2 linked regions of the Neodiprion lecontei genome follow. The protein of the gene in region 1 interacts with the protein of each later gene in a pairwise test. Links are inferred from orthologs where the notes say so. Each region holds a gene or a part of one and is shown in the gene's direction. Other genes may lie near its edges. The genes, in order: glutaredoxin 3 and anamorsin homolog.

Region 1 (8,149 bases):
TCTTAGAGATTTTCATCACTGCAACAAAGGAAAATACTCGAAAAAAATCCATCACGACAGGTTTTTGCTTGAACTCGTGTTTGTGGTTTCATTCGGAGTGAAATTCCCGTTTGAACTCGAAATCCGGTATACTGTTCTTGATTATAAAAATCCTACACAAAAGTGATTTCTTATTTTTATTTTCATGCGTATCAGAGTGAGATTCAAGAATAAATACAATCAGGGAAACAGAAAATGAAACGCGGAAACGTGTTCGGAGAAGGACCAAAGAGAAGAAGAAAAGGTTTCATTAGGCAAAAAGAATGAACACGGAATGTTAATATATTTCATGAAAAATATAGTTCAGTTCATTGTGATGAAATATTGGTTTTTTCATTATTTTTATGCTTTTTTTTTATGCAAACATCTTGTATTTTGCAAAAATACCGTACGTGGTGGAGGAAAATGAAACTTATTCTTGGATTCAGCACGCTCGAAAACAGAATATTCACCAAAAACATCCTATGCAGCTGAGATAAAATATTTTTTTGCAGACCTGTGCTGTAGATTCAAAAATCAAAAATCTCCCCTAGCCTCAAAGACCTTTGTCTGATAGATCCTGAAGAATGTCTTAAGATTGGCTCCGAACATGAGAAGTTATAGTAAAATATGTATACATTTTGAAAATTTGATTTGCCTGTTAATCGAATTCAAAGGTCATCCAGTGTCACGATGCAATGTTTGAACCGAAGGTTTCATTACTTCAAACAAAAACGAAATTTCCAAATTTTTATGATCCCCACGGTGACTTGGTGATTTTTTCGAGTATTCTGTTCCTATTTTATAGTAATTGATTGTATTCATTGCCAACCCATTACTTGGATTCATTCTATTCCCTTCTGGCTTGAATCATTTGCATTGAAATTAACTTGAAAAATAAATCAATATTTCGATTTTCACCGAACCATTTGTAGGGACAATTATATGAACGTAATGATGTGTCAGACGGCAGCTCGCCGTTTTATATTTTCAGTTGCGTTCAGCTTAAGATTACGAACTCCGGATGAACTAGTCATGAATTTATATTGGATAATGTGAAATTCGCACCGAATTTATTCAAAATTCGATGGTACTTTAACTACTCTCTCTGTGAATCTAGTGTTACTGTATTTTTTCTGAAAGGTGCACTTGATATTTTATCGTATTTGACTTCAAATTGTTGCGCTGAAATTTGGCCCCAATACCGAACAAGTAGGAGAGTGATTTAAATGAACGAACACATGAATCTTGAGATCCTATATATCGTCATTAAAATATGTACAATGTAATATACTTTTAATTTTTTTAAGGTTCGATTTAGTACTCGGTTTTTTAATTTTGGGACTTTCCATGCATGCGCGACGCGATTGCGCCTGTTTATGTGCAACCCGAACCATTTCACCAATTGCCTACATGCAGGCGGAAATATTGCCCGCGGTTCATCTTCGCTTGCAAACATTTTTACATTACTGTGAGAAAGCCAAAAGACGTATAAGCGTTTGTTTTCACCTAGAAAAGATTTTTCAGCCAGTTAAAATAACGATATCCAAGCCAAAAGAGCTATCAGCGACAATTGTTGGTCTGAAAAATGTCACAAAGACCATTTTTAACCTAAAAGACGTCAAATGCAACGGGATATCTCGTTTTATAGATCTTTTCAGAAGCCAAGGGACATCTTTTTCCAGCATTTGTTACTCCCAAAGCTCTTATTGAGATCATTGTCAACCTAAAAATACGGTTAAAAAAGTCTCTAGACTTCCTAAGAAGACTTTTGTCGCCGGTGTGGCCAGCCAAATGAAAAAAGGTTGCCTCATGGTTGATCATGGCCATGTCGGACATCTCGCTCGCACATTATCTCTAACCCGCTTTATCGCACAGCGTGGTACTAAAGCGAGTGAGACAGACGTAAAATTTTACTCCTGGCGGCGAAACGCCGAACTAGCCATCACAGCGCCTCGTGATGCGAGGATCTTGGCCACGGATCTTGGCCTTTGTGAGACCTTTGGCATCCATGGCCGCAGTATCCTGAGTCGCGTAGCGCGAGCCGGTTGGAAGAGTTAAATATTTATTTGCATAATCGCTGCTGTGCAGGTCTGAAGGGAAGGGTGACAGGATGGCTGTCACAAACTTGGCGACCGTCGACGAGTTCAACACGTACATCAAGTGAGTTCAATTACGGCAAGTGACTCGGGTATTTTTTTAAGGATTTTACAACCCTTGAAAAATCACGAGGTTGAAGTTAGCAACGTTATCGTAACGAAACATTGGGGGGGAAAATCACTGTATTTTAAGGAACTTGGTTTCCAAATATTCGTGTGTTTTCTTTTATCCCGATTTACCGGATTTCGTTCGTATCGTTAAATAACGGTTCTTGCCTCGTGAATCGTTACGATAACCTTACTGACTTCGATATGATGAAAAATCTTCATTCATCCAAACTATGCGATGGTAAGGCATATCCGCACTTTTGGATCCGAGCCAGGACTCTGTAACACTGTTGAAGAAATCTAGACTGCATTCTTTTGAATCGATTAGACGATGGTTAGTGCAACTAAGTGTCTAAAACAGTTTGGCTAATTTGCATACTGCAATGACTAGAATGTCTTGTTTTCAATGCTGACGTTTGCGCATAACCTCGAAAATTGATACTTGCAGCGTCGTACCTTCTGATAATTGAGTTATAATCTAGTCACTGGCTTATCGACCGGGTAAGAAAATGCAATGACTGGAAAAAAACTGATAAAATTTTCCCACGATATCAAGTTACCTACCCTCAGTCACCGATAACTTGAAATCGCACTAGAAGTTTTTCGGGTCATTGTATACTTAACGCGTTATATAGTTATATACATATACTATCTCTCGTGGAAAATAAATAACGGCTTCACTTCAAGAAGGTATTGACCTGTTTCAGTGTTTCTCAATCTGACCAAATGAAGCCGAATGTTTTACATCACTCAAACGTTTTAATGTGACATTTGAACTATAAACTTGTTTTCATAAAAATGGAAATGGGAAATAAAATGTAACGAAACTTGTTCCTTGGTACCCGAAGCTTTGTCATTCGGATTCTAATTTCCATAGCTCAATTGCCACGGGTATATCTTCTTTGAAATGTAAATACTTATCTATTTGAAGTTTTGTTCGCATTAAAAATGCCGAAAATCAAAGGAAAGAGAAAAATTTAAAAAAAAACCATCGATTATTAACAACCAAATTCACAACTCTAAAAGTACCGGTGTCTGATGATTCGTAGAAATATGTTTATTTGTTGAAACTTCAAGTCACAATACAGAGATTTCGTCATTGCCATTGAAACAAAACAAATACATCCGTTTGAAAAAACCGAGTGTTTAAGAAAAGATACAGTTAAATAGATGCAAAAAATTCTTATCTCTGATGAGTTTGACTATATTGTTGAGGACCCTTGAAACAGGTCAATGTTTACGTCGATAATGAACTTTTGCAAGAATAAAAATTAAATGAAACATTGCCGAAGATAACCTTTAATGTAAAATGATATATATATATATATATATGTATATGTATATATATATACATAATACTTTTATAAATATATAATACACGATTACAGATATAGCATAGCAGATATTTTTTACAACTGCAACGTTTGTTTATATTTATTTTTTTAATCACCATTTTTAATCACCTTCGTTAACCAACGTCGTTTATTCACACCAGATCCAAAGATTTGACGGTGATCCACTTCTACGCGGCATGGGCGGCCCAATGCGCGCAAATAAACGATGTCCTCGAAGAAATGGGAAAGTCAGCCGACTACAAGGGTGTAAACTTTGCGAAGATAGCAGCGGAGGACGTTCCAGAGGTTTCTTTGAAGTTCGGCGTATCCGCCGTACCGACAATACTGCTGCTTAGGAACTCCGTCATTACCGACCGAGTAGACGGCGCGAACCCGGCTGAGTTGGCCACGAAAGTAAAGCAACAGATGTCGTCGAAGGATCCGGTGCCGATAGAAATTCCGAAACCGAAGGAGAACATCGAGGAGAGGCTGAAAAAACTCATAAACCATGCGCCCTGCATGCTTTTCATGAAGGGAAACCCGGCCAATCCACGGTGTGGATTCTCAAGGACGATAATCTCCATCTTGGACTCTTACAACGCCGATTATCAGACCTTCGACATTCTTCAAGACAACGACGTCAGGGAGGGCTTGAAGAAGTTCAGCAACTGGCCAACTTATCCACAGCTATATTTGAACGGCGAATTACTCGGCGGTTTGGATATTGTTAGAGAAATGGGCGAAGCCGGCGAACTTGAGGCTATGCTGCCCAAGAAAGTTAGTTTAGAAGAGAGGTGAGTTTAGAAGAGGTCGCATTTTTTCATTGTTGGATAAAAGGAGTTCAAGTTTTGAGCGCCAGTTTTCTTCCAAGTCTTCGATACTGTTGGAAACTTTTTAATAAAATTCCAGATTAACTCAATATTTTGAGATTTATTTATGGATAATAATTCGTTCCGTGTGACTAATTGTTGCAAAAACAGCGTAAATGAGACAGACCGGATAAAGGAAGTTCTCTTAACGAACACGCATAGTACATAAAATAAATGGATATTAAGAGGGGAAACCTTATACAAAGTTAGACGATAACAGGATAGTTAGATCATCTTCAACAGATACTACATTGTCAATGACAGAAATTTTTCTCAAAACAATTGTTCGTGGCTTGGAAAGTATTGACGGTAACTGTATTTTTTCTGTTCGCAATCGGCCACCGGATTGAAGTTAGTAACGTTAATCTAACGAAACAGTGAAACTAAAATCATGGTTTCGAAAGTTTAGAACAACTTTAAAGGAGTTTAATTTTCCAAGCTTGAGTAAACTTCGTTTTTTAAAAACTACTAAATCAAAGTTCCCGACTCATTGATATTGTGCCGGGCATAAAACTGTTCTTTTTTTTTTTTTTTTTTTTATCCCTTCCATTCGCTGATTTCTAATGTTTGACGCGAAGGTCGCGGAAATTGAATGTAAAGTTCTGTAAAGAAGAGCCCACGCACGAAACTGCGTGTAATTAAACGGAAGAGGGAAGGGTTTAGGAACTTTACGAGCGTATATATGACGCACCGCTGGAGCGCGACATGAGTTTTACGACTGTCGACTGTTCTTTTTTTTTTTCTCTCTCGATCAACTCGGTAGATAACGCCGAATTCATTATTTTACACCGGGGATCGTATCATTTCATCGACCTCGATTGTCATTGGTCGGTAGAATTCTACGGTGGCCTTTTCATTCTTACATCGCTTGGTTGGCAATTTGAAATTATAAATTATTTTTATCAGTTTTCCAAGCTCAACGCCAGGAAAGTTTTTCACGTATATATAACGTATACCTAACGATACTCGAATGATAGTTGCCCCATCATTTCACGCTGGCGCTCATTTTGAATTCAAATTCAAATATAAAATGTAAGCAAGATTTAGTAATTCGATTATGTAAATACGTATAGTGAAATATCAAATACTTATAATACTTATATATAGGCACACCTATTAATCTGCGCTCACTTTTATTCATCTGTTTCTCTTTCAGAAGTTGAAAAGGATTAACAGCGGTTCCTATATTTTCTTACATTATTAAGTTATTAGCTCATCCGTAGATATTACGAAATTAAGAGTCGAATGAAAAAAAAAAACCTGCATTTTTCATCCATTGTCGAATAACATTGTGAATAATAAAGAGGAAAAAAGAAAATAATGCCTCGGTGACGATACAAATCTAACGTCAAGTCCAAAGTTTTACTGCTGAATATTGAACAGAGCCTTGAGTCCGTATAGTCGACGAGAAGTATTTACCAAGAAACAAAAAAAATATATTCCCTCCCATTATCCTAATCTTCGTTCACGTAATTCTTAGAGTTCGAGAAGTCATCGCCAGGGGAAAGACAGTGATCGTCATGAAAGGAACCAAGGAGGAACCGAAGTGTGTTTACACGAAACAAATCATGGAGATCTTCGATGCGATAAAGTAAATTCAATCGATTGACATTCCCTTAATCACGATGGATAACAAACTGAACTTTCTCTCGGCAGTCGAATATCATCGGTACCGACGAATAGCACCGTAACATGTTCCATTCCGTTTTCGGCCTCTGACAATGAGTGAGACACTAACATTCATTAATGCCCTAACCTTTCGTCTAACTTGTTTTCGGTCAGAATAAAAATCCGAGCTCGATTCTATACGAATTTCGTGAAAATGACCGGCGATGTAGCTGACGTGAAAGAATCTGCCGCATCTACAGTCATTTTCACGACAGTCTTATAGAATCGAACTCGCATTTTCTTTCGGACCGAAAAAAAGTTAGACGAAGGGTTAAGACATCGATGAATATTACTGTGCATAATCATAGACTCGCGGCTCCATGAACGTGACAGCATAAAGTCGACTAATGTCACTCGTATTTGATGTCGTAACTCACGATGAAATGTAACAAATTCACTGCAGAAGAAGGTCAGCAACTTGCCGTAGGTTTTGCGCTCGGTAAAAGGACCCGAATCTGACATATCGGGACTGTATTTCGTATTCTGTCCTATTCGAGATGACGATCATGAATTCGAATTCGGACAACGTATTCCTGCTTTCGAAATTGGTATACGGATGTATCTTCATACTCTATGGTTCACACCTGCATCGGACAAAGCCACAAGGTTTAGCTGTATAATACACAATAGGGTGGTTTATTTATTAACTTTTTTTTTTTCAAGATGCCACGCGAAAAATTTGTGACAAATACTCGGAAAAAAAAAAAAAAAAAATGGCATGTAAAACGGGGAGGAAGTAGAAAAATATTTATAGGTCGTTACTAATTATTTTAATATTTTTTATTCGTTTTTATATGTACACCTTACGGACTTATATACATATGTATATTAGTTTATTTTTTTCTTATCGTGGTAGAATTAATCATTGTTTAAAAATATCAGTACCGAAAAAAAACAGGGACATTAAGGTGATGCGACGCACCTATTTCGGTGGCAACAACTGTTGTCCAAATTTCTCCGAGACGATTAATCGGACCAAGATGCAAAAAAATATAAACTAATACATATACAAGTCCGCAAGGTGTAGACATAAAAATAAATAAAACAATATTACAATAATTGGTAGCGACCTCTAAATATTTTATTACCTTCTCCAGATTTTACGACAACTTTTTGTTTCAGTATTTGGCACAAATTTTTCGAGTATCACATCAAGAAAAAAAAAGGAGAAAATTGTCCCAAAATGAATCATCCTAATACAAACGCCATCTGCAACCCTGCTGGATCAATGCCGTCACGCTAATTGTGCCACGCGTTGAGATTCCATTCCCTCAAGTGCTATTCGTCGAAAACCTGGATTGCGTAAAAAGTGTGATATTTTATTTGTTGGTAGAAAACAACAGTCATTCATAGTATACACCTAACTCTGCAAAAATTGTTGAGAGATATTTTTAGTTCCGGTTACCGCTCAGTCCTTGACTATTTTCATTTTTTACCACAATCGACAAAATATAGTTCTAGGTAGAAAATGAAAATTAGTTTTCTCGCCGTTACCGGAAAGTCCAGTATCCGTTACTATTCTTTCTCATTACCATCACTGTTAAATTGCAATTGTCAAATAAGCGATGCAGTTTAACCGAACATACAAACCCGATTACTCGTTGAAATCGATACGTCCGGTGACAATTCAAAGAAGTTACATATTTATATAGACTAAATAACAACGAAATCTATCTTTCACCACTCACAGCGTGCCTTACGAAACATTCGACATACTCATGGACGAAGAATTGCGAATCGCTTTGAAGTCCTATTACGACTGGCCCACTTATCCCCACGTTTACGTCGACGGAGAACTGATCGGCGGTTTTGAAACGGTTAAGGATCTATACGAAAGCGGCGAACTCATAGACACCTTGTACTCCGAAACGTTCAAGGGAAACCGGCGAGTCTTAAATTCTAAACTTTAAACCCAAACGAATATTCTCAAATCGTGCCTTTTGCAGAAATTGGTAATAAGGTTTTGGACGAGAGCGATTCGTGATAGAAAATGTAACAAAGAAACTCGACAAGGTCCGAATCTTTTGGAACAGCTGTAAACTGTAATTAAGGG
Region 2 (4,154 bases), on another chromosome or scaffold:
GAAATTTTATTAGCGGACTGACAGCTACCGAATTTGGGCTTGCGCGAAAAACGAATTGAAATAATTTATTATAAACATGAACGAGGAACCACGGAGCGCTTATCCTGGAAGTCGAGTTTCACCGCGTAGCGGAACCGAAGCGCGGGATCCGGGAGGTTGAGAACCCGGTACTCGAAATACGTAGCGGAGCCGAAGCGCGGGATCCGGGAGGTTGAGAACCCGGTACTCGAAATTTGCGGAGCGCGACTCTCATCCGTCCGCTCTACTGCGCGGTTGGTACCGGACTGAGGAACTCGGCTAGCCGATTTTAGATTGGTGACGTCACTTTCCGAACATCCGAAAATTCAAACTTTGGTTTCGAACTGTAATACTAGGTATGATGATGTATGATGTACGATGTATGATGTATGATGTACGATGTATGATGTATGATGTATGATGGTATGATATGATGTACTATGAGTTTAGTTTTCACATTTCATACAAGAAATACGCACTTTGTCTTTCCTGCCGATTCCAGACTCAAGCGGCTAGGCTCTTCGATGATCAGCCGTTTATCCACGATATATTCTTCAGTTAACGGGTCAGCTAATAATAACGCTGCCGTTATGCGACAGTTGGATGATAAAAATTTTTGCTCGTACCTTTCAAAATAAGCTCGAAGTTTTAAGAAGCTTCGTTCTTTCTCTCCCTCTCAAAAAAAAATAAAAAAATCAATAACAGTCACCTTTTGAGGCCTTCAAATCTGGACACCGCGTTGAATACTGTCTCATATACGGAGCATCCATTTCATCTCGATCAAAATTAGCGCATCCGTGATGTATTACAGTTACTCTGAATTTTTTTCCATAAGAAAACTTTTCGAAAAAACATTCTGCTTCTCTTACCAACGTAGATACTTCACTTGCGACTAGCTAAAACAGCGTTTCGATTCTATGCCTACGAAAATTTAAGATCGAGAGAGCAAATGAAAAGTTGTTGGAATATTTATCAATATTAATGTTACGGAATACATCGAGTACGTGTCGAATAAATATATAATGTGTTCATATTATAGACGTATTGTTGTAGGTAACACAGTTTGTCTCCTGGAAAATTATAAAATTTACAGTATGCATCACGTATCAATTGCAAATGGATCATATATATTAATAACGTACATGGACCGCATATACATATATACTTTTTGGTCTCTGCATCATTATTACATCAGATCTATTATTATTTCTGATCTATGTATATGTTCGTTTCTCGGGTACCTGTACTTCGATTAAATCACTGTTCCGCTACGAATTTTGGAAGAAATTTATTCTCATTGTTAATTTCTTGTATCGCCGACAAGTCGGTAACGCTGCAAGTCGGTAAATACACACAGGCTAAGTAAATCCTAACCTGACAATTGATTATTGATCAAGTAATTACTATCTAATGTCGGAAATTCGATATCACAAACTTACAATCGCCAAAAAACGATGAAAATTTCGTTCAAAACCGGGAAGGAGTTTTGAAATGCGGCATCACATCGCGGTACGGAGACGCTGTCAACGGACGGATACACGATCGTGGAAACCACCGCGTTTGTTTGGAAAGCTCCCACAGCTCCAGGAGAAATTCACCAGATCTGAGGAAAAAGCGCGCAGTTTATTTTCCCATTCAGTTTTTTGGGCTTTCCAGCCAAATGGTGGACCACTAATCGTTCTTATCAAGTTTATCGTGATCGTCAAATGATTGCGCGTCGATTAAAGCTCCTGTCGAGTTTAACTGAAGTGAAAATTAAAAAAATCCGGCTAACCGAGCGCCTCGATTTGTTTATTTGATATAAATTGACTACCAAATGATTTGATTAGGCTACCAATCACCACCAATCGACTACCAAACGATTGGTATAGTCGAAATTGAAAAAAGTTTAAGTTGCTTGGCCAACTTTACGTCAAACCGACGACGTCCATGAAACAATAAAGTGTCCACACTCTGCGTTTTGCTGCCCATGAAATCTAGGCTTAACACGCAATCGAGTCGAAGCTCGAAGTCAGACGATAAACGTGTGCTTCTGTCAGTCATTGAGTACAGTGAGTGTTGTTCCAATCCATATTTAAATACATAAATCACGTTGTCATTCACTCTCGACCAGGTATACGGAGGAAGATGGAAAATTTTGTAACCGAAGGTAACAAGGTTTTAATAATATGGTGTCCTGGAACACCGCTTGAAGAATTGCAGGAGTTTGTTTCACAGACCAAATCTAAGGTTGGAAACTCTGGTAGCGTTTCACTGGAGAATTCGAATCAGATCATAAAATGTAAGTTTGAACAACTATTGCAGTGATGAAGTTCTCCAGTCTCATGATCATGAATTATTGTCGTTATAACCTTATTGCAGCAAATCACGACGCCTCTTCCGTCGACACAATTTTATCAGGATTTCTGCATCCAATTATCCATAATAATATCCTCCTCGCTGAGGCACTCCGCATTTTATCACCTGGTGGAAAGATTGTTATTCAGGAGCCGGTCGTAACGCAATCCGGTCATCAAAATCTCGGGACATGTGCGGAACTGATTTTAAGATTCAAACTAAATGGATTCCTCCTACAATCTCCAGACTGCAAAGCTTCCGCAGTCTCATTCGAACTTCGAAAAACTCTCTCTGAACAATATAACGTAGATGAGGTCAAAGTATGCCAAATTATAGGCAAGAAACCACAATTCGAGGCAAGTTTGTGACATGACAGATTTCTTCCATAGATATCGATTGCGTTATAAAATTTTGGAAATGTATGATTTATAATCTAACAAAGTTATTGCATATTTTCTATTGGCAGGTAGGTTCCTCGATGGCCCTTCCATTGGCTAAATCCGCTGTAAATGTATGGAAACTGGATGATGCGGTAGAGGAAGATTTAATAGATGAGGATACTCTTTTGGATGAAAGTGATATTCAAAAACCACAAGTAGCTTCCCTTAAGGGTAATTGAATTGCATATTGATTCACCCGGGTTGGCTTGAACCACAAAGAATCATCAAGAATTAACAACCTAAGGATTAGATCATAAAGAAAATATTCGTATTATTAAAAGCTAAATTAATTTGTATAATTTTATAAACTGCTGAATTCATTGCGTTTTTTTTAAATTTTAGTTTGCGCTACAACTGGGAAGCGGAAGGCATGTAAAGATTGCAGTTGTGGATTAGCCGAGGAATTATCGGGAGAAACTGTCACGCAGAAAGTGGAAAAATCTTCCTGTGGAAGCGTATGTGTATTTGTACATCTAATTACAGTAAAAGTATTTTTGCTTGTTCTTTCATAGGTCAAATTTTATTTCATTACATTATTTCAGTGTTATTTGGGAGATGCTTTCCGTTGTGCGAGCTGCCCGTATTTAGGAATGCCAGCTTTTAAGCCAGGAGAAAAAATCTTGCTGCCTAACAATTAATGCGGATCTTGTGTTAAACACCTATTAGTTGATTCTTAATGATGGAAGCCACATTTTACGGTCGAATTACAAACAAGATTTTCATTCCCTGTTTGATTAAAATAGACATATAGACGATATCTTAGAGATCAGATATAATTAAATTATTAATAAAATAGAAGGGTTGAAATGAAAAGAACCCCCCCCCCCTTAAAATAAACGACTGTACAATGGAGTTGTTCCAATATTACTACTATTATTATTATTATTATTGTTTTTTTGTTTGCTGATCTATCAAACATGTTAAGAGATGTAAAACACAAATACAAACAATTTGAACTCAAAATAAAAAATGAGAAAACCAGAGGGAATAATTGGCATTAATTCAGTGAAAAATTCAGAGGTAAAGTATCGCTCCAATGTCATATCAGATTCCCGCATTGTTTATTAACTTTCCTCATAAAATTTTTACATTCTGAAAACTGCGATTTTTCATTATAAAATTATTGAAGACGTCGCAAAAGTAATCAAAATTATTTCCATTAATTTTCTTAATATTTCATTTAAGAATCTGATAAATTATACATCAAATATTATTATCATCATGATTATTACTATCATTGTAGAGAAAAATTAAGGCAATTTTTATAATATCTAGTAACGAGTCATTTGATAAATTTTCATAGCTAAATATAAATTGTATGGTGAAAAAATGTTGAAATTTATATATGTATATAGAAAC

Evidence for each region.
Region 2: the proteins of glutaredoxin 3 (region 1) and anamorsin homolog interact in binary tests that used the Homo sapiens proteins (3 or more experiments, as listed by UniProt). The link is inferred for Neodiprion lecontei from reciprocal best matches to the Homo sapiens genes GLRX3 and CIAPIN1.

What each region holds. Positions count from the first base shown.
Region 1 is NC_060266.1:4,869,713-4,877,861, forward strand, and holds the start of glutaredoxin 3, read left to right. Parts: upstream 1-2,010; 5' UTR 2,011-2,131; coding exon 2,132-2,181; intron 2,182-3,720; coding exon 3,721-4,353; intron 4,354-5,908; coding exon 5,909-6,019; intron 6,020-7,786; coding exon 7,787-8,006; 3' UTR 8,007-8,149. UniProt on the Homo sapiens protein: Together with BOLA2, acts as a cytosolic iron-sulfur (Fe-S) cluster assembly factor that facilitates [2Fe-2S] cluster insertion into a subset of cytosolic proteins.
Region 2 is NC_060263.1:19,488,144-19,492,297, reverse strand, and holds anamorsin homolog, read left to right. Parts: upstream 1-2,018; 5' UTR 2,019-2,145; coding exon 2,146-2,299; intron 2,300-2,379; coding exon 2,380-2,711; intron 2,712-2,821; coding exon 2,822-2,966; intron 2,967-3,137; coding exon 3,138-3,250; intron 3,251-3,337; coding exon 3,338-3,433; 3' UTR 3,434-3,628; downstream 3,629-4,154. UniProt on the Homo sapiens protein: Component of the cytosolic iron-sulfur (Fe-S) protein assembly (CIA) machinery required for the maturation of extramitochondrial Fe-S proteins.